Linked DNA regions of Drosophila melanogaster. The protein of the gene in region 1 interacts with the protein of each later gene in a pairwise test. Each region holds a gene or a part of one and is shown in the gene's direction. Other genes may lie near its edges.

Region 1 (9,456 bases):
AGAAGTCTGGCTTGGGCAGCAGATCGCTTTCGGTCAGCTTAAGCAGCTCGAAGTGCTTGGCGAATTGCGAGTTTGGGTGCTGCAGCACGAAGGGCTTGAGCCGCGTGTGGAAGAACTGCTGACCACCACCCTTGCAGTAGTTGAACTCGTCGCTGATGGCCAGCTGTGGATAGAAACCGCTGCCGAGCAGCAGCTTTAGCAGCACAACGACGCTGTGTCGGTCGAGCCGCGACGAACGCTCCAGCAGCGCCAACTGTCGAGGATCGAACCGCAGCCGGAAGTCCACGTCCCTCATATCGTCGCCCTGCGCCTCCTCCTGCTCCTCCTCGTCCTCCGCTACCCGTCCAGCGCTCTGCTTGAGCAACTTGCGCTGACGGGGTTGCTCAAATCGCTGGCGGCGCTTCATGGCTTTCAGCTGGCGCAGCTCACCATGTCGCGTTGCGCGCTCGGCACTGGTCAACTGGGAGTCCGAATCGCTGGCCACCACCATGCCGCAGCTCTCGAGGATGCGCTGGAACTGTTGACGCAGCTTGGTCACCTCATAGAAGCGCTGCTCCTCGATGCCCAAGCGACGGCACCACTGTCGAGTGCCATCGCGCCGCATCTTCAGCTGCACCCACACGTTGTAGAGTCGCACCAGGGTGAAGAGGTCGCCATGATCGGACTCCAGAGACTCCCGCTCGCGCACGCAGCGCTGGTCTGTGTGGGCACGATTCGTCAGCGGGTTCTGCACGCTCAGCATGGCGGCCAGGGTCAGCAGCTGCTCCACCTCGGGAAACACGCTGCCCATAAGCAGCATCTTGCCGATGGACAGCTCTACGGGCAAGTTGGCCAGCGATCTGCCCAGCGGTGTGATCTTTTCCTCCACGCTGAGGGCGCACTGCAATTAGAGATTAGAAGTCCGGTTGAATTGGGGTCTACACAGTTGGGTATCGGTGAAATGCTCACGTGTTGCTTTAGCGCCAGAATAGTCTGCTCGATGCGCTCCGTTTCCGGGGCCTCTATGAATGGAAAGGCCCGGACGTCGGGCAATCCCATGGACACCATCTGCAGCAGCATCGTGTCGAGCGGCACGCGGTAAATTTCCGGAGTGGGATATGCCTCGAAGGCGTTGTATTGCTCCGCAGTGTAGAGCCGAAAACAGACCTGCGCTCGGAAAGTGGGAATGTATGAGAAATGGAGCAACCGTGGGTTAGGTTCTAGCTTACACCTGGTCCCGTGCGACCAGCACGACCCTTGCGCTGATCCGCAGACGACTTGGACACCCAGAACTCTTTCAGACGCTGGCCCTTGCAGGTTGCGTCGAAGTTCATCTCCTTGACCTTGCCAGAGTCGACCACGAACCGCACGCCGTCCACGGTGAGCGACGTTTCGGCTATGTTGGTGGACACAATGCACTTGCGCATGCCCTCGGGTGCGTAGTCAAACACCTTGCTCTGGTCCGCGATCGCCTGGCCACTGTGCAGCGGCAGGACGAGCCAATGAGTCTGTTCGGTGGCATACTCGTGAACGGCCTCCACAACAGATTCGATTTCGTTTACGCCGCTAACGAAGATAAGGACGTCACCGCGCTCGCTGGCTAGGTAAGATGATTATTAGGCGATCCCTACAAGAACATGATAACTAAACTCACTCGGATACTGCTGGTCAATAAGGCTAAGCACCTGGACAAATGGAGCTGGATCGATGCGGTTTCTCTGAGAGCGTTTGGATGTCGCCTGTCCCGCCTTTAGTTCCAGTGCAGGAGGCGGCAGATAGCGCAGTTTGATGGGAAATAAACGTCCCGGCACCTGGACCAGCCGTGCGCCCTCCTCGCCGAAGTAGCCGTGGAAGAGCTCCACGTTGATGGTGGCAGACATGAGTATCAGCTTCAGTTGCGGCCGCGCCCTCAGTAAGCACTTGGTAACACCCAGTAGAAAGTCACCGAATAAGTTGCGCTCGTGGATTTCGTCCAAAATCAGGGCATCGTACTGGTCTAGGTTGGCGGCCACCGCTAGTTGCCGCAGCAACAAGCCCTCCGTAATGAAAAGGATGTTGGTGAGCTTCGTCCGACTGCGCTCGAATCGGATCTGGAATGCCACCCGACTGCCGTAGTCGTCCAGCAGCTCGTGCGCAACGCGCTTGCACAGGGAGACGCAGGCCAAACGGCGCGGCTGGGTGCAAGCTAGGGCAACAAAAGGTCGATCATTGGTAAGGCAGCCTCAATGGGAAGCCGCATACTCACCAATGCTGCGGTAGCCAAAGTCATAGAGATACTGGGGCACCTGTGTGGACTTGCCGCAGCCAGTGTCACCGGCCACGATGACCACGCGGGACGTGTCCAGTGCCTCGCGCAAGTCCTTCCGGAAGCGAGCAATGGGTAGATTGCGTTGTGTCTGCCGCAGCTTTCGGATACGCTGGAACTTTTCCGTCTGGCGGAAGTCTAAGTACACCAGCAAGATATGACGAAACTGGGACTGCATTTGGTCGCGCGCCTCCTGAAGCAGTTCGTCAGCGTCCAGCCGCAATGCCAAGTGCTTGCTGCGGTGATACGGCTGCATGCTGCTCAGCTCCGCCTCCGCGAGTCGAGGCGGCAGCACGGGCTGGCCCGTGGAGCGCATCATAGCCTCGTACTTGCCCACGAACTTCCAGAAGTCAGCCTCGTTCTCCACCAGACTCCTGCCTACCTGGCGGCTCTTGGCCTGCAGCAGGCCCACGAGCTCCGCCTTGTGATCCAAGAAACTGAACTCGATCAGATTGATCTGAGTCCTGCGGCGGCTGGAGGCATGTTCATCTGCCTTCTTCTTTATCCGAGACATTTTCACCGAAGCAAAATAGTTCCTAAAATTTGTATTTACTTCTTCCCACAGCAAACGATAACACTGCTACCGATAAACGGTCAGCTGTGCAAGAACCCAAGCCGATAACACAATTCTGGAATGTGGATGACTACTAACAAGGTTTATTTCCCTAGATTGCTAACAGAAGATGCTACCACATGGCGCGCTGGACGCCGGACAGCTTATTGTAGTCGGCGAGGTGGCGCCACACGATTCGACTGAGCCTGTACTTGTGGACAACTCCGCGCGGACGTGACGTAAGCGCGCAGCGTTCCCTCACCCGGACGAGCGATGAGTCCCGAGGAAAAGCAGCGATCTCGGCGTCGGCTACCTCGCGTAGCTCCGGCGGCAGGATGTCGTTCTTGCGCAGCGAGTTGACTCGCAGCCGCTCCACGGCGTTCTCCTTGACGCACTTGCGCCGCTTTACGTCGCGAATCATCTTCCAATCGGCATACTTTGTGCGCACCTGCTGCAGCTGTTAAGACAATGGGCTGGATATTATGTTCGCTTAGCTAGGAGTACGATGTTAACTTACCCCGCAGCCGGCTATTTGCACGGACTGGCACACAAAACCCCCGATCCTGGCCAGAGAATTCATGTTGTTGCTTTCGGTGGTGCTCTTCTTCTTTTTGCCTCTTTACTTTGTTCGCTATAGTGTCGGTTATTAACGCGCGGGACTATCGATAGGCAACAGCTGATGAGCCCATACAGTGAATTGCAAATTTATTGCCTATTATTTTCGTATACGAGAACTGGGTAATTTAAATGAAAAATACGATGGCGAAGCATGCGGTGTGGAATCTATAAGGTTAAAACATGGAAAGCCGGCTGACTTTCGACCTCTCGGAATAAGTTTTAATTAACAATTCACTCGCTTTACATAACCGCCTAGCAGCGCGATTCAAAACGAGCGCGTTCACACCCATTCGCAGTGGCGTACAATTGCTGTTACCATTCGCCGCGAAGCGCGTGAACACGTGTGCCAGTGTGCGTGCGCCAGTGCGTGCATGTGCACAGTCGAGCTTGCCAGTGTGGGTGTGTGTGGTCGTCTCACGTCGATTTAGAAATTTGCTCGTGCCCGCAGTTTGCCGTTCGCCGTTTTCGCCTTGTGTGTGTGGTGTGTCTACTCCGTATAGACTGCCAATCGAGTCCAGCTCCGCTTCCGAGCAGCAGCAGAAGAGGCATCGCAACTCAGCTCAGCTCGCTGATCCACAGATCCCGCAGTCCGGTGCAATTCACGGCCAGGCGAAAACCCAGTCCCAGTCAGCAGCTGAGGAAGAACAAGAACGACCAAGCAGAAGAAGCAGCAGGCCGAAGAGAGGAGCAGCCGCAGCCTTGCAGAGATGCCTTCTAGCGATCCCCTGCCGCCCAAGGAGGGCGCGCTCTTCCGCAAGCTACTTGTAAGCCGGTCTAGGTGACCCTACTGTCCCATACCTTCCCCTTCCCTTAATACCACAACTGTGCCGCCCCCTCCCTTTGTTCGTGCCTTTGGCCGGCTTCGGCATCCATGTGCTTTTTAGCCGAAGTCAGGTGGAGAGTGCCTATTTTTGGCAGAAGCAATCCGGAGGCGATGCCTCCGCTGCTCGAGATGTGTGGCTTCAGCGGGCGATTGCACAGCTCTGCTCAACCGCCGACGTTTGTGGTCGGCCCGCTGGTCTCATAACCTCAAAATTCGCGCTGCGCGGGATGCGAGAAACTTTGACTAAAACCTTTCTTCTCTGTGCTTTCTTATCAAACAGAAATGCTACGAACTGAAGCAGTACAAAAATGGCCTTAAACTGGCCAAGCAGATCCTGTCCAACCCCAAGTACATGGAGCACGGCGAGACGCTGGCCATGAAGGGGCTTACTCTGAACGGACTGGGGCGCCGCGAGGAGGCCTACAAGTATGTGCGTCTGGGTCTGCGAAACGACCTGCGCTCCCACGTTTGCTGGCACGTCTACGGACTGCTCCAGCGCAGCGACAAGAAGTACGATGAGGCCATCAAGTGCTACCGCAACGCGCTCAAGTGGGAGAAGGATAACCTGCAGATCCTGAAGGACCTGTCGCTTCTCCAGATCCAAATGCGCGACCTCGAGGGCTACAAGGAGACGCGCCACCACCTGTTCACGCTGCGTCCCTCGCAGCACGCCTCCTGGATCGGTTTCGCCATGAGCTACCATCTGCTGGGTGACTACGACATGGCCAACAGCATCCTGGAGACGTTCAGCCAGTCGCAAACGTCGATTGTATGTATCCAGCTGCCTGCCGATTCAATTTTATATTCCAATTCAATAAAATGCTCGTATTTCTTGTTCCATGTCTCTGCTCCGTGGGCAGGAGGCGCACGATTATCGGCACTCGGAGCTGCTGCTCTACCAGAACCAGATACTCATCGAGTCGAATCGTCTGCAGCAGGCCGTGGACCACCTGACCAAATACCAGGGCCAGATCGTCGACAAGCTGGCCGTTCGCGAGACCATGGGTGATCTGTACATCAAGCTGCAGCAGCAGGAGAAGGCAGTGCCCATCTTTGAGTCTCTGATCCGCCGCAATCCGGAGAATGTGCTCTACTACGAGCAGTACATTGCCGCCCGCCAGGTGACCGACTCAAGCGCCGTGGTGTCGATCTATCGCGTGTTCCAGGAGCAGTATCCGCGCGCCCTGTGCCCTCGCCGCCTGCCTTTGAACATCGCCAACGGCGACGAGTTTCGCGTCGTGACCGACGAGTACCTGCGCCGCGGTCTGCGTAAGGGCATTCCGCCGCTATTTGTCAACGTGCGCACTCTGCACCAGATACCGGAGAGGGCGGCCGTTATCGAGGAGCTGGCGCTGCAGTATTTCGAGAACCTTACCCGTTCCGGCCACTTTTCTCGCGAAGATGCCGACGCCGGAATTCCCGTCGAGCCGGCCTCGGCGCTGGTGTGGACGGCACTGTTTCTGGCGCAGCACTACGACTACATGCGCGATACGGACCGCGCTCTGGAGTACATCAATGTGGCTATCGACCATACGCCAACACTCATTGAGCTGCTTATCACCAAGGGTCGCATCTTTAAGCATGCTGGCGATCCCGTGGAGGCGTACGTCTGGCTGGAGGAGGCCCAAAGCATGGACACGGCAGATCGGTGAGTGAGCCCCATGGACTAGCATAGACCTGCTGAACCATGTAACCATCAATGTTTTCCCCTCAGCTACATCAATTCGAAGTGCGCGAAGTACATGCTGCGCGCCAACATGGTGCAGGAGGCAGAGGAGATCTGCGCCAAGTTCACTCGCGAGGGTGTCTCCGCCATGGACAACTTGAACGAGATGCAGTGCATGTGGTTCCAGACGGAGTGTGCCCTGGCCTATCAGCGCATGGGTCGCTGGGGCGAGTCGTTGAAGAAGTGCCACGAGGTGGAGCGCCACTTTGCCGAAATCGTCGAGGACCAGTTCGATTTCCACACCTATTGCATGCGTAAAATGACGCTGCGCGCCTACGTTGGCCTGTTGCGATTGGAGGACGTGCTACGCCAGCATCCATTCTATTTCAAGGCGGCCAAGTGCGCCATCGAGGTGTACATTCGTCTGTACGACAAGCCGCTTAAGTCGGAGACAACCATTGAAGAGATTGACATTGGTATGTGGACATTACCCCACTAGCTCCCTTGCTCGTTCTAGTTAGCTGTATGACCGCCTTTCTTCGTTACAGAGAACCTGCCGCCATCAGAACTGAAGAAGCTGCGCAGCAAACAGCGCAAGGCCAAGAAGAAAGCTGAGCTGGAGAGTGCGCAGGCCGCACAGGCGCAGGTGAAGCGCGAGCAGCACCAGAAATCGAAACAGCAGGCAAACCAGGAGACCGACCCCGATGCTCCGCAGTTGGACGAGCTGGTGGCCGAGAAGCTGGAGCGCACGGACGATCCGCTGGACAAGGCCATTGAATTCTTGAAACCGCTGCAGCAGCTGGCTAAGGAGCGCATCGAGACGCATCTGCTGGCCTTCGAGTTGTACTACCGCAAGAACAAACTGCTCCTTATGCTGCAGTGCATCCGGCGCGCTCGCGCCGTCGACGCCTCGCACCCCGTAATCCACAGCTGCATTATTCGCTTCGTTAAATCGTTGACCAGCGCCGCCAAGGAGCAGCCGTTCAATGAGCACGTGCAGCAGGTGCTGGAGAAGGCCACCAAAGAACTGATAGGCAGCAAGACGCCCCAGCAGCTCAACGATGAGTTTATTGCCAAACACAACGCTTCCATACTGCATTTATACGAGGGCGCACGCAGTCTGTACGAACTGGACAATAGTAAAAAAGCTGCCGCCATCAAGCTGGTCACTAGCTTCAACCTGGCCAAGCTCCGGCTGGAGGTAAGTGACTGCCAAACCCATTTCTCCACCCACTGACTGGCCCCCTGTTGATCCTTGCTCTTTGAATTGTGTTCCGCAGGAGGCCACCAAAATCTACACAGCGTTGCGGGACGGCGATGTGTTTGGCGAGTGCGAGGCAGAGGCCGCTTCCTACCAGCAGGCGTGCCACCAACGCTTCCAGTACGCCCGCATCTTTCGCAATGTCGAGGAGCTGGAGGCTCAACTGCAGGAGAAGGAGGCCGCCAAGCTGCGCGCCGAGGAAGAGCAGCAGCAGCTGATTCACGTTGATTCTAGTGAACCGGTGTCTGTTTTGGCCACGGCAGCGGCAGCGTCTTAGGACCAAACAAGACTACTAACTAATACCCGGGCCCGAGAAGTTAGTAACAGCAACAACAGATCTGCGGCCACCACACCAACAAACACAACAAAAGCAACAATAACGAAAAGTGAAGCGAAGAACCTAACTAACAACCAACAATATGAACAGGAATAAGCTTAGCTCTATAAACAACGGCAACCACAATAAAATTCACTATTAACAACAACAAACCAAGTGCTCTGATGAGGAGGACGCCAAGCCGCTCTAGGCATGGCCGAGTTTATCTGATCGGATCGGATCGGATTGGACCGGTACGGATCAGATCTGAGGCGGCAGTTGGCTTGGCGCTGTGCCCTTGTGCGTGGCACCTACCAGTCTGCCACCTGAGAACACATCCCGTCGTCATCCGTCACACAGCATCCTACAAAATGGTTTCGGACGAGGACGAGTCGATGAGGAATAGGAATAGGAATCCGGTACGAAATGGTGCGGAGGTGATATGTGGGATTCGCACGTCGAACGTTCGTCACCGCGAACCATGTAGTTAACCAAGTTGTTGTATCCACTGTTGTGGGATTTCGAAAACTGAATCAAACGGAACGAACCTTTGTTGACAACACCCGCTGGCTTTCTTAACAACACCTTATTTTTTATTATTTTTAACGAATGCATTGTATGTACATATGAAGTCGTAATTAATTATACGCAAATCAAAACCTTAATTCGTACACAACGACAAGTCTTCTAATTCTAAACCGCATTGTATTGAGCAGAGTAGGAGCGGCAGGACTGACTCCACTGGATGCGTTGTGTGTCCTTGTGCCCATTCTAGTATATTTCTGAGCAGCTTGCGCTGGTTTAGCATCGCAATTGAGCCGCCTACATTTAGTATATCTACTAACGACCTATATAGAAACCATTGCAGTTTGAACTAAGGATTAAATAAGTAAGCGCAACGACGCCATCATTTATTGAAACCAGACCAAGCAGGAGCTCTCAATCTTCGGGTTCATCGGTCAGATTGAGGACACGCGGCTTATAGGTGAGTCTTTTAAAACGACAAAAGCTCGAGTGAGCCCGCGTTGGGGTCGACTGCACCCCAACGGCGTCCTTATGTCGGCAGATTTTGACGAAACTCTCGGGAATCCTTGCGTTAGTGGTGATTGTCAGCGTGGCTGATCCCGCCGAGGTAATGTAGCGCTTCTGTCCCTCCCATCCTGGCTGGGAAAGCTTTTTCTCAATCTGCAGCTTGACCTCAAGTGAAGGCTGGGCTATTGCTCGGCGCTTTTGTTTTGGTTTTGGTTTATTTTCTTGCTTTCTTTCTTGTTTATTTTCCTGTTTTTTTGCTTGTTTTTCTTGCTGTTCTTGTTCTGAGCGAGAGAGAACCATGGAATAATGACCACACTTGAGGAAAAGATTTCTTCCCTACCTGCCATTTTTCTGTGCAACGTTTTGGGAATAACCTGCTCGCAATGATTTAGTCATGTGGCAATTGACGATAGCTGTCAAAAAAAAAATCGTTCAAAATTCCAAATTCAAGAATACAGTATAATCACAGGGCTAGCTCGATAGCCTCCCTGATCTGGCAATTCTCTAGCTGAAGGCTCTGCGACCGACAACTAGCGAAAAAACTATGCCAGGTCAGAGATTTCTTAGGAATTTGCGACTCCTTGCTCACGCGACACGTGCAGAGTTTCGATTTGAATTCAAAAGAAAACATTTGAATTTTAATTGCCAAAACAAATTGATAGAAATGATTGAAATGATCTGCCTTCACTAGATTTTCAAAGATTGTAAACAAATCACGAACGAGATTGCTCAATACATTTGAAATTAGCCACAGATTGCGTGGCACTGACAGCTTTATTCAAAACAAAATACGTCTTATAGGACAGATCCTTCTTAAAAGCTAATTTACACAATGCAGCTTGGCATTCTATCGAGTAACAACAAAATATGGGTAAAGTCCAGTTTATTGAAAAAATATAAAGA
Region 2 (7,578 bases), 8.5 Mb from region 1:
GAACTTAATTCGTTTTTACTTAGCTCCATTAACGCGCTCAATCAAATATTTTCTTTGATGTGTGACTTTAAAATGATTATAATGTTTCAATTATTTGTAATTGAATTACTGTGCTTTTGCATTTTTTGATTTGTGTGCACTTTAAAAGGTTAATCAGTTAATAAATTAAAAATTCTGAGCTTTGTGGTTCATTTTACATTTTATCCCTTCATTATCCGTTTATCGCTGACAACTCGTCACATTTTTTTTTTTTTATAAATCAGTGGGCTTTTAGAGCGAATTTTTAGCCAAGACCGCCTTCCTGGAACTGGCTAATAATAAGTGGCTATTCCTTCGCTCACCGCAAGCCAAGCATAACAATTGCTTTTTATTTTATGATTGCCGTGGCTGTAGGACCTCGTCCTGCTGCTGATTTTGCCTCCGTTTCCTGGCCAGACAAATACCCCCGGCCCAAAAATTGCTTGTCTTTAATTATGTTTTGGTCCTCGAGTTTTGTGCATTGCCTTGTTTATTTTTATTACTCGGCGCGTCGTCGGCGCCTGTTTATTTACATTAATTTTTTCAATTTACCTTTATTACCCGGGCGCAGAGGGTCCTTCGGTTCGCTTTATGCCGGGACTTAATTAAGCTTTCAGCTGTTTCCCCTGCGCCTCGCACAATCTCCAATGGCGACTCCCATTTTAATACAAATTCTCTTTATTTATGACTCGGCATTGGGGGGGGGGAGTCTTGTTTTCTGCGGTCTGAGTGCGACGTCAATTTCCATTTCCGCTGCATCCTGGCTAATCTGCCTTCATCATTGGAGCAGCAGCAGCAGCAGCAGCAGCAGCCAGCGTATATTAGCTATATATGGCTATATCCACGAGTTTCCCCTCTTTTTTATTTTTGCCCTGGGGTTAAGTGGCCTGGCTTTCCGGTGGGTGGGAAAGTGGTAGGTAAAATCAAAAATGCCCCAAAATGTCGGGCACTTTTGAAATTTCCTACGCAATTTCCGTTGTCAACACCTTGACAGCTGTCAGACGCACACACAGACACTCTCGACACTCTTGCACACTTACACACGCACACCCGCACACCACACACTCAAAGGCACTTGTCAGTTCGATTTTTCGCCTGCCATGTTTGTTTTTGCTCTTTTTTGCCTAACGGAAACGGAAATTGTTAGGCTTAATAGACAATTCGCATTTCCTCTTCCTTTGAAGTCCTGTATTCAGCAGCCCGCTTCAGTCCGCACAATTGCACAAATCAGTGCTCCTGCTGCTGTTTCTGTCTACTTTGCGTCCGTTGATGGAATCTGAATCTGAATTACAATAATTGTAATATTTAACATCTCAATGGCCAGCCAGATCCTTTGCTCCTCTAATGAGGCGTCACCGAAGGACATGCATAATCAATGAAGGACCAAACGGACGAATGAATCGCTCAATGAGCGACTGAATGAGTGAATACCCAAATAAGCGAGCGTTTCGAAGGCGTAGGATGCAGATTATGAGGATGGATTAATTAATTAAGCATTATTTAGCCAGTGAAACCGATTTCATCTTTAAATCTATTTGAATGTTTTGCAAATTATTAAGATATTCGCATCTCTTCTTTGTATAATTATTAATAATTTGCGCTATTCTTAAACTTTCTTTATAGATACTGCGTGGAATTCGAGGTAATAAAATCATCTAAAGCCTGCAACAAGTTGCCGCCATATAACCTGATGACAGAAGGTAAGAAAAATCAAAGTAACTAAAGTAGTATTTAATATTTATGCAATCAAATGTGTAAAATAATATTTTGACTGTCTTGTGTTTTATTTTCCAGGCGATCGCATCACGGTGCGCTGTGACCTTGAGGCATTGATCCAAGACTCAGCCGGCAGCTCCACCACCGCCAGGACACCACAAGGACCCACTACGCCGTCCACGACCACAGTTTCATCCGCAGCCTCTGCCTTTGGCCAGCGTACGGATGACCTTGAGGAGGAGCGACTGCAGCGTGAGACCAGCAGCGAAGAGGAGGCGACCAATCAGGATGGCGAGGCGGAGGAGGAGGATGAGGAGCCGGAGCAGGATGAGCAGGATGACCTGCAGAATGCCCTGGACTCGGACAGCAACGAGAGTACCGACTACCGTCACCAGCGGCAGTCGCAGATGTCGCAAATGTCGCACAGCCGCCGGACAGCGGGAAAGCGCAGCGCTGTGCCGGCCACGCCCTCGCCCACGCTGCCGCCCACCTACCATTGCCGGGGGGAGGGGCTGGCCGGACGCACGACACGTTGGAGCGCGCTGCCGGCGCCGTCGTGCCGCGGCAAATGGCTCCGTCTGACCGTCGGTCCGCCCAAGAAGTGCGGCCACGCCCAGTTCATCTTCGTCTAAGGCGACGTGGTCATGCCGCCCACTCAAGTTGCGGTGTCCATTTTTTTTTTTCTCCGTGTAGGTTATGGTGTACGGTCTCCCCCACTCATCATATCATATCATATCACCCGCGCCCCTGCCACGCCCCCTCACTTCCGGCCCAAAATCAATAAAGTACCCCATCGTATGTAAGCGTTTAAACATTAAGCCAGTGGATTAAGAAGATCATAGCATATGTATGTATATGTATGTGTGATGAGGTCAGGATTTTTTTTTTTGTTTGTCTCGCTAGAGAAGAGAACCGGAAATAAAGGATACACTGCCAGTGAAATATAGGGTATATATGGAGGAATATCACATATTTCTGAAGTTTTCGAGGGGTTCTACAATTTCGGACTACTAACTTCTGCTCTCTTAGATACTTTATAAATTTAAAAAAAAACTTCCAAAGACTTATGATCTCCTCCACACACATGATATTCATCATATAACCATATTGATATCACGGCTGCTGTGGACTTCCTTCGGTTAGCATTTCTCTAATTAGTTAAGGAAACACTCGCGTGTAAGCATTTGGGCTCAGGACCCAATCAACAACTCAATATAAATGCTGGGGGTCTGTGAAGACGCTCGGATCTCGGATCGGATAATACTAGAAACTAGAGACTAAGTCATCAAATACCGCATAACATCTACAGTGAAAATGGAGTCGAGCTGCGTAGTGAAAGAACCTATATATACATGTATGTGGATGTGCACGAGTGTATCTGTCTAATCGTTAGTTCCCCCCGACTCGCAAGCATATAGCACACACACGTTCTACACATAACATAACATATATGATACATTTGTCAAAAGCAAATGATTAAGGCCCACAATTTTTGGTTACCCAACTGGCAGACAACCCTCTGGAGTCGGAATTAACGTTTGGATCTTAGTATTAATCTGGATTTTAGGTACACACGAATGTCGAAATAATTATTATAATTATAATTAAACCAATAATGAGATCATTCAATAAAGAACGAGTATAATTTTAAAGTAAACCAATGTTGTCTTTGAACATTTACCAATCTAGAGTCTTGAGCCATCCTGGTTTATCTACAACTTGTTTGGTGACTCGATCGTCAGTGCTGCACAGTGGGTCGAAAGTAATTGTAAAATAAAATAAAATAAATAGTTTTTGGGCATATAAAAAGAAACATTTAATAGTTAATGCTATTAAAGCATTTAATAGATTGGATATGTAGGCATATAGATCTTTATAGTATAATTACATTATTAATTTAAAATTGTTTCAGATTTTATTTATTTCCTGATTTTGTGGTACAAGTTTTCCTAGTTTTCTTCTTTTTCAAAGTGTAGAGTGGTCCATAAAAACCATATCTGGACCCACTGTGCTTGAGTACTCAGCTGTTTTGGGTTTACCGGTTGACCCAATTACCACCAATGGTCGGTTAGGTGCCTTTCAGCGCTCTTTCTCTGGCTTTGCCTCTCGGCTTCGAGGCTTGAGTTCACGGTGAAGGCCAGAAGAATGACAGAGAGAAGAGCGAAGACTTGACTTGACTTGACTTAAAGAAAGAGTCGAGAATCGGCCAGAGGCAGCTGGTCCGACGAGGCGGCTACTTGATTAGTCCCAAAGCGATCGCAGACCGAGACGGACCGACGACAAGAAGCTGCAGTCTTAACCGTTAAAAGTAATTCTTTTGCATTTGCATTCTTCAAGTTTCATTTCTTCTCGCCAGTGGTGATTCATCAAGAAATCGGTTGTTTGGTTGTCGGGTTCTCTGTCGGCGGTGTGATTCCCGTTCTTTTTGGTTCGGCCGCGAAGAAAGTTGTCTTCAAACATGTTAATTGCGACGAGGGGCCGTGGGCCGTCGATTTCTTTTAACGGTCTAAGTTTGGCCAAACGAAAACACTTTTCGTTTAAGCCGATAATCGAAAACATCTAGACATTTGACAAGGCCTACACTTAGGTTTTCTTTATTCAGTCATAAAGTTCAGCACATTAAGTTGGTTTAAAGTCTAAGAAACTTTTTTTGTGAAGAGGTCGTTAGATCCGACTTAGATGATCTTGCTTTTTATGTACACATAAAAGCCATTATTTGCAGGGAATTTTAACGGAGTAGTCAAACGTATAATATTAATAATATTATATTTATTAATAGAAACAACAAACACTTATTATATTATTATTAAATCGGACTTAGATATGTTGTCAGACAAAAAGGCGGCTCTCCTGCTGGTGACCGCGATTACCGCCCTCAAATTGGAGGAAATGAATGCCTATAGACGCAACTTCGATGCGCGGCAAAGTAGTAATTCGAATATTCCACTCTGGAAACAGCGAGTAAGTTGGAGAACCTAACGTTCATAATTTTCTCGAACCAATTCCGAAAATATTCGATTACCTAAGGCCTGTGAGAAATCACAGAAACAGCGGCAAAATGCACACTATGTTTGCGATGAAAAAGGTGACTTCAAGTGCCTTCCTGGGTGGCAGGGTGATCTTTGCCAGGTGCCTATGTGTCGAAGGGGCTGTGACCCGATGAATGGTATGTTTACTCCTTCAGATGATTCCCTATCTTGTGACCCCTGAACTCACATTCACACAGGTTATTGCCAGCGACCCGGTGAATGCAGGTGTCGCATCGGATACAGCGGCGAACTCTGCGACAAGTGCATTCCGCTTCCAGGTTGCCAACATGGCGGATGCACCAAGCCATTCGAGTGCATCTGTAAGCCTGGCTGGGCGGGACTCTTCTGCACGGAACGTAAGTAGTTACCGGAAAAGGATAAGCCTGATTACAATCTTACATTTAAAGAACGGAGCATTTAGAGAAGGAGTTAAAACATAGGGAACTAATATCGTTTTGGGGGTTGTACTTGTTATATGACATTTCCAATCAAATCAAACATTCCTAACTCTGTCCAATCCGATTACTCAATTGCCTGTTTCCTCCAATCCGCGCGCAACCAAAGCAAGTTGCCGTACCGGATGCCACAGCACCCGTGGATATTGCGAAGCGCCTGGGGAGTGCCGCTGCCGGATTGGTTATGCTGGACGCACCTGCTCCGAATGCGCCACGATGCCGGGCTGTCAGCACGGCACCTGCAACAAGCCACTGGAATGCCTCTGCCTACCCGGATATACCGGACTACTTTGCCAGACGCGTAAGTCCTGCAACCACCAAAGGAATCCGCCATTCACCCTACTAATCCCAAACTCCATTCCGCCATTCCAGCAATCTGTGACCCAGATTGCAGCAAGCAGCACGGATATTGCCGCAAACCTGGCGAGTGCCGGTAAGTAGGAGCAGCATTTCAATAAAGAAAATGCAGAAAATGTGGTTTCGGCAAGCTGGAGTGCCCCTTTTCGGATAAGTCAACTATTTTTATCCTTAATTTAACATTCCCAAGCATTATGGCTCAGTTAGCTAACAGCAAACTAACAGCAAAACGAACCCATATCTGTCATCAATTTTCACGGACATCCCCTTCTTCTCCAGCTGCAAGGTGGGCTGGACGGGTAGCCAGTGCGACAAGTGCTTCCCGTATCCGGGATGTGCCAATGGGGATTGCGAGGCGCCATGGGAGTGCAACTGCCATCCCGGCTGGGGCGGAATGCTGTGCGACGAGAGTGAGTATATCCGTATATGTGACCATGCCAACGGGAAATTGACCGAGTTGACCCACAGAGCTCACCTACTGCGTGGAGCATCCGGATACGTGCGAAAACGGGGGCAAGTGCACATCGCTGAGTCGCGAGGATGGGAGCTACCAGTGCCAGTGCCGGCAGGGATTTCTGGGCAAGAACTGCGAGATACGCGATGACTTTCTGCTGACCTCAGAGGCGCCACCGCGAATCACACCGCCCACACCCGCTGAGCTCGTACTGGAACTAGATGGCGAACTGGACCAGAACGGGCAGCAGGACATCGGTGCAGGTGTGCCCGATGACAGCGAGCCAGGAGGCGGGCTGGTTGGAGAAAAGTTGCCAGCGGGTAACGAGCCGGAGCGGCGGAAAAATGACACGGTAGCCAACGTGGCAACCGCAGGAACTGGAGCTGGAGCAGGACCCATGAATTCACTACCCGGCAACAGCAACGCCACAAGGACGACATTGGTGGTGGCAACTGAAACTGGCAGCGACAATGCGACTAATGAAGCGTTAAGCGCCGTTACAACGAGGCGTGCCACCCCGATTCCCCTCACATCTGGCGAAAAAACCGTAAAGGGTAATGCAACAAGCGTGTCGGTAGCGACAGGACCTCAGCCACGCCCCCCGCTGCCCATCGTCGCTAGCCAGGAGCAAACAATAGCAAATTTGGCGCCAGCTGGAACAGTAACAGTAACAGCAACAACAGCACCAACGGCTACAACAGCCGCAACATCCGTGACCAGCCACAAGGATAAGCCAAATGTGGCAGACGAGGAGGAGGACGAAGATGACGACGATGATGAGGAGGATGAGGATGGCGAGTACGATGAGGAGGAGGATGAGGACGAGGACGACGAGGAGGATGACAGCGATCAACTCATACCAAATATTATATAGTTAAGAACCTGACAAATGACAAGTAATCCCTCTTATATATATATACACATTGTTCAGTTAAGGGCCCACATATGCAGCATCTCAAAGCAATTTTTTTTTTTTTCTGAATATTTATTATTAACTAATGAATGAAACATCCAATTAAAAAACTCCATCCATTGCGATAGATATACATATATAAATTGTATTTATTTATGATAATTTTAGGGATTAAGCTAAGCAATTTTCGATTTAACAAATGTCAAAAAAAAAAAATGATATTATTAAAGTTTGCTAATCTTAAGTGCTACAAGAAATCGTTGAATCGAAATATGAATAGGGGACCAGAGGATTGGACTCAGAGCCTGTGGGAGTTCAATTCCTGCACTCGGATTGCACTTGGTTCGCTTAAACTTAAGACAAATGGGGGACTACGAGCTCGGGTTTGAATGGGGATCTATATGGCCATCTTAGCGCCACCGAGTTGGGGGTAGTACGATTGGATTGGGTATCGAAAATTGGAATATGGAAACCAGCACATCATAGACATCTAAACATACATATGGACTCTTGCATATGGGCGTTAATAAATATATGTAGTAACTGGTATGGGAGACTTACGAATCGACAAAAAAATATGTAGAAGTATGGGAGAGAGAGAGAATGACTCAATACAATATCGATACGAATAATAAT
Region 3 (5,757 bases), on another chromosome or scaffold:
CGATAAAGGTCGTCAATAGGTCGCCTTCGCCACACAAGCTCAGCTACCTCAAGGATAGTCCCAAGTCCCCATCCCAATCCCCGCCGGCTGAAAGTATCCTTGCAAGGAGCAACTTTTCGTACTTCGCTATCTGTTACAACTGTTGGAACTTTTGCTGACCATTGGAGCGCCTTCAATGGCTCAATTATTTGCCCCAATCCTCGTTTTTTCTTCTCCAGTTGAGTTGGTTTGATTTCGGTTTTGGTTTTGTTCTTCTATTTTTTTTTTTTTCTGCTACAAGGATAATTTCTCGTGGCGTCAGTCAAGCGCGCTCACCCATAGACATAAATATTTAAGGACACACACTGGATTTGAGCCGGGCTTTCGAGTGTTATTAGCGTAATTGAGTTTGTTAGCCAATTATGCATGCAATGAGCCAGAAACGCCAACGTTCGCCGCCTTCAAAAGTTGAACCAAACAAATTTAAAGACCGTCCTTGAATCGCACATTTGAATGGAAAATTCGTGGCAGGGCGCGTCGTCTGTGCAACAGTTCTTGAAAATTGCATTTTCTTAATTTATTTGCTATGCTAATTTATTTATTGACTGACTGGCCACGAATGCCAACAGCCCAATGTCATTTGGCCACAGACGACACGACCCGTGGCATCCTGAAAATCACGCAGACAAGTGCCATATTAAACAGCAGGTGCCACAAATTTCGACTCAAAAATGTATTGAAACAAAGGACACTTTAACTTAAATAAATATGAATTTGAAAAAATTTATATATGTATATTTGTTAGCTAGCAAATATCTTTATTACTCCATCATACAGTTTGATTTTTCAGAAAAGTTTATAATTTTGTATTTTCATTGCTAGTATTGTGAACTCGTCTGTATGTGCAGCCAATTGCATTCTGCATTCAGTTCGTGAAGGGAATGCCCCAAAATGAAGCAGGAAGCCAGCAGAAATGCTGATTTTTGATGGAGGTGTGGCAAATTGAACACATGTTCATTGCCAAATTCTTGAATTAAATTGGCAACGAGCATTTCCAAATTGATAATCAACAAAATTTACATTCGGGTGTTGGTAATTAAAACACGGAAAGACAAGAGAGCAGAAAGTTCTAAATATAACAGAAAAAAAAACAAATAAATTAAAGCTTGTACTCTTTAAAGTATCTACACATGTCATATATTTTTAAGTGTCTAAATCCCTTTAAAACATATATGTATCTGCATTTCTAGCGCCTTAAATTATTACACAATCCTGATAACTCATTTATGGCCTGTCGTCTGTGCTATCTTTGTATCTATTTTGCACACTTAAAAAGTTGGCATAAAAAGAACAGAAACCGCAACAAAAAGAAAAAAAGAAACAATAAAACCGAGTGTAAAACGCAGAAAGTAACCACCAGAAGGGAAAACAACAAATTCGAACAAAATGTTTGCCCTTCGCGAAGACAATGCAAGTTAAATTACGTCACGCAAGCGAATTTAACCCCGAAAAAATGGCAAAAAAAAAAAGAAAAGATACTGTGTGAATTTTCGGGTGCCAGCACCAACACACACACGCAAGCACTCACACACACACACACACACACACACTAACACACAGTAAAAGGAACAGGATGCCCCTGTGGATATGCAACGCTCAATTTGCCATTGCCAACCACAATGGCAACCGAAATTGGCAACTTAATTTATGTGCTGCGCTAATTAGCACCATAATTTAATTTCCAATTGGCAAACGGAAAACGGGGAGAAAAAAAATGGGGAAAGCGAGTGGTGAAAAATCGGGGAAAATGGAAAAATGGAAAATGAGAACTGGGCTAACAATGCAAATGCAAATGCAATGCCTGTTGCTGCCAATCGCATATGCTTCGTTTGAGCTGAGATTGCGCGGGTAAACAAAATGCATTTAACCCTTTTGCGTACTCTTCAAAAGAAAAAGGTAAATTAGTTGATATATTAAATAAGTATTATTATTTATTTTTCAAATACTGTTAGTCATAAAATTGTCATTGATTAGAAAATTACTTTTATTTAAGCTTAATTAAGCGAACTACAAATTGTTTATATAATGACTTTTTCACTTTCTCAACAGATATTTCCACTTTTAAAGGGTATCTGTGTGACTGAGTTAAAACCACAAAAATTCCCACATTTCACATTTCTTATTCATTTTCCGATCACTTGCGCTCCGCATGCGAAATTCCGATGAAAAATCCGGAGCTGCCGAAATAAAATCGAATTAAATGCAGTGCACATATGTCGCCACCCCGTGGATCCCCCGTTTTTTTTTTTTGGTGCAAACCAACCCCCCATCTGCGCACACGCCCCCTAACAAATGATGTTGACCGCCCATGGTCATGGATGCTAATTAATCTTGATTTTCAAACCGGGCAAAAGCACGCAAGCAGGAGGAACTGTGAGTGTCCTTTACGTCAAAGTGACAATTAAATTAATCATGATGGCAAACGATTATGTCAACAGGACACACAGGACACAGTGACACACACACACAGTGGACTAGAGGAGCGGCGGGGGAGCTGAACTAAAAAAAGGATGTCGCACATCAGAGCAGAGAAGTATGCATGTCTCTACTGCTTCAAAATCTAATTATAGCCGGAGCATCAAACTTATAATTAACATTTCGACCGCAGCACAAAAAAATTGGGAATGTGCGAAAGAAACGAGCAAAGCGCCAAAAGCAGTTACTTACGTTGCATGTGCTAGACATTTTTAATTAGTTTTGCGGTTAAAAACTTTAGCATTGACTTTAAATTTAAAGAAAGATGTGTCAATGTTTTGCTTAAAACTTGTGGGGTCAACTTTTAACTGCTCTCCTCTCCTCGCCTTTCTTGTCAAAATCAACTTCGTTTAATTTATTGTTTAACAATATGACACTATTTCTTGGCGTTTTGATGATTTTACTGTTTCTTTGGTTGGAAGTGTACAATTGTTGAAGCACACTTTTCAAACTGCGCGCCTTTTGAAACAGGGCTGTCGCTTTCGATCAAAAACAGACAGGTGGCAACGCTGACACGCAGCATAAATGCAATTAATTTAATACAGCGCTAAGTGCATATTGAAAATACACAATTTCCAAATTCGAAATTACATAAAAAACTTCAAAAACTATTACAATAAAAGCCAAGCAAACACTCATAGATTATTAGTTAAATTATGTCGATTGTGTTATCGCTAGTAGTCCATCTCTAATCGCACGAGGTGAAGAAATCGCAAAGAATTTCGGAACTTTTATTGAATTAAACATAAAAAAAAACAATTGAAAATGACGGAAGCAGCGGAAATCAACGGCAGAGAAGAAGTGGAGGATGACGAGCAGGATAAAAAGCAAAAGAAATCCGATGTGAAACGACATGACGACGGCGCCGCAGGTAAATAAATATTTCACATGCCGCAACTCATTCCACTGAAAAATTGCAAAAAAATGACTGGCATCTATGAAATATCATGTATTGTGCACCAATCCTTAATAAATATGGAGTATTAATACTAAAACTTCATCTTGCTTTTAGATTTGGAACGTGTGACGGATTATGCCGAGGAAAAGGAGATCTCTGCGGACAATATATCCAGCGTAAGTTCATATATTTATTAGCAAGGCAATATTTGTATTAACAACATCCTTTTTTTTTATAATTTACAGGCCGTGGAGCAGTTTGGCAACCAGCGTAACAAGGAGAACGAACTGCGAGTAGCCAAAGAGAAGGAGCTCCAGAAGGTCCAAGTCAAGAAGGAGGACATTGAACTGATTGTACGTATGCGAAACTACAAGGAAGTATTCCCTTTCATTGTAGAGATACAAATATAGTTCATTGCATTAGCTCCAGTTCCCTTAGATTTCCTCCTTTGGTTTCCCATAGATAACTTTCTTCCGATCTTCCTTTTGTAATGGTTTCCTTCCCCTCTGCCCTTTCAGATGAACGAGCTGCTGGTTAGCAAGGCGCATGCCGAGAAAGTGCTCCGCGAGCAGAGCGGCGATGTGGTGGCCGCCTTGGAAGCCATCATCAGCAATTGAGGTGCTCGTGGAATCCGAAGCAATCCGCCGTCTGTTTCTTTTATGTAGCGTAACAACACACTGCTTTATTTGTACATTTATAAACTCTAGCGAAGAAAACAATACAAAACAAAAAGACTTTTAAGCCCACAAATGAGTGAGAGTGCTTACATCGTCTAAACGAATTTATTTTGGAGTTATAATAACTTGCAATTTTATTCAGAATATCGCCACTGCCCATGCGTTCCGTGTCCTTAAGAAAAATGTGATGATGCGTCGTATCCGTGTATAATTTATGTTTATAATTTATGTATCCGATTGCTAAATGAAACAAACGCAAAGTCCTTCGTCTCAGCCGCCCACTTATATTCGTAAATCGTGTAAATATGACTTTTTGGCAGTTGCGTTTGCTTCGCTTTCACATATTGCCCGATTGCTTTCTATACGAAATGAAAATGCTACCAAACGTTATTGGGGAAAACCTGATGCCTCATAGCAGCTCTATACGTTTCATTCCGTTTCATTTTTTTTTTTGGGGGAGAGAGGGAAGGTATTTAAATAGACATATAAATTATGAAACAAAATAGACAATGAAATTCATTTATAACAACTAAAGCAAAATATGCAATAACTACACAACCCAGCAGTTAAGGTTTCAAATAGTGGTGGATTTGAGGAGTAGCTTTTCGTGTGATAGCATTAACTAATTTATGTGATTAAATACTTTTGCAGATTCTCGCACGATGGCGTATTGATGTTCTGCGCCTTTCTGTACAGATCCCGATCGCCAAAGGTACGCGCCTTGGCCAGCATTGAGTCGCCTGTAAATCGTTTATGTTAATATCAGTTTAGTATAGTTCCTCTGCCTAACTTACGATAATTCCTCTCTCGACTGCAGGAGTGTTTTAGATGATTCACAAAGTCCTCTTCCACGGATTCCTCTAATCGGGCCACTGATCCCTGATATTCTGAATAGAAGTTGTCCTTTACGTAGTATGGTACCTTCAGGGAGTTCGTCTCACGCTTCACCGAATATTTACTGCGGATTAGAGAAATGAATCCACATTAGTGCTAAGCTAATTTTTAATTTGGTTTGCTTACTGAGAGGGCGTCAAGCTGTACATTGGGTCCGAGATGAAGAAGGACGACATCATGGAGAGTCCAATGAGCAGCACGATGGGCAGCAAGTTTACCAAGGCCGAAGAGTTGTTACCCTTGATATGGAGATAAAAGGCAGTCGTTTATAATGTGCACAAATGATTTCGACTCGGTACACTTACTTCTCGATCCTCGCGAGCCTGCTGACGACGTCGCTGCTGCCGCATATGGACATTCTGCTGTGGGAATCCGCCGTTGAAGAACATGTTGAACAGCTCCTCGGCACTGATGTCAGCCTGGAATCCACGCGAATATCCATACTCGTTGTTGTAGTATTGCCCGTGTCCATGGTGTCCGCCACCATTGTTGCCGTGACCATTGTGCGACTCATTGATGCCATACAGATCGTAGTTCTTGCGCTTTTCGGCATCCGTAAGTACGCCAGCAGCATTGCCGAGAGCCTTGAAAGCCTCCACCGCACCAGGAGCCTTATTCTTGTCGGGATGCAATTGCAGAGCTAGCTTCTTGTAGGCCTTTTTGATCTCCGAATCAGTGGCCGTCTTGCTAACGCCCAGTACTTCGTAGTAGTCCTTACATCTAATACCAAATGCACAAATGCAATTAGTAATGTGAAAGGCTGGCTATATAGAG

What was found.
Region 2: the proteins of Naa15-16 (region 1) and C901 interact in a two-hybrid assay, tested with the Drosophila melanogaster proteins (one large-scale study listed by BioGRID).
Region 3: the proteins of Naa15-16 (region 1) and CG9922 interact in a two-hybrid assay, tested with the Drosophila melanogaster proteins (one large-scale study listed by BioGRID).

The regions. Positions count from the first base shown.
Region 1 is NC_004354.4:19,476,460-19,485,915, forward strand, and holds Naa15-16 (N(alpha)-acetyltransferase 15/16), read left to right. Parts: upstream 1-3,524; 5' UTR 3,525-4,162; coding exon 4,163-4,219; intron 4,220-4,558; coding exon 4,559-5,047; intron 5,048-5,138; coding exon 5,139-5,926; intron 5,927-5,992; coding exon 5,993-6,420; intron 6,421-6,492; coding exon 6,493-7,145; intron 7,146-7,224; coding exon 7,225-7,482; 3' UTR 7,483-8,184; downstream 8,185-9,456. Other genes in the region: CG32533 (uncharacterized protein), read right to left, coding at 1-880, 949-1,146, 1,209-1,579, 1,634-2,164, 2,225-2,798; mRpS14 (mitochondrial ribosomal protein S14), read right to left, coding at 2,971-3,294, 3,355-3,417.
Region 2 is NC_004354.4:10,963,532-10,971,109, reverse strand, and holds C901 (C901), read left to right. Parts: upstream 1-3,975; 5' UTR 3,976-4,042; intron 4,043-4,555; 5' UTR 4,556-4,557; coding exon 4,558-4,695; intron 4,696-4,761; coding exon 4,762-4,900; intron 4,901-4,960; coding exon 4,961-5,119; intron 5,120-5,327; coding exon 5,328-5,519; intron 5,520-5,590; coding exon 5,591-5,651; intron 5,652-5,854; coding exon 5,855-5,985; intron 5,986-6,043; coding exon 6,044-6,903; 3' UTR 6,904-7,078; downstream 7,079-7,578. Other genes in the region: vex (vexed), read left to right, coding at 1,642-1,718, 1,813-2,366.
Region 3 is NT_033777.3:14,033,452-14,039,208, reverse strand, and holds CG9922 (uncharacterized protein), read left to right. Parts: upstream 1-2,810; 5' UTR 2,811-3,279; coding exon 3,280-3,385; intron 3,386-3,526; coding exon 3,527-3,588; intron 3,589-3,657; coding exon 3,658-3,765; intron 3,766-3,930; coding exon 3,931-4,029; 3' UTR 4,030-4,191; downstream 4,192-5,757. Other genes in the region: CG3061 (uncharacterized protein), read right to left, coding at 4,717-4,829, 4,884-5,047, 5,110-5,222, 5,289-5,703.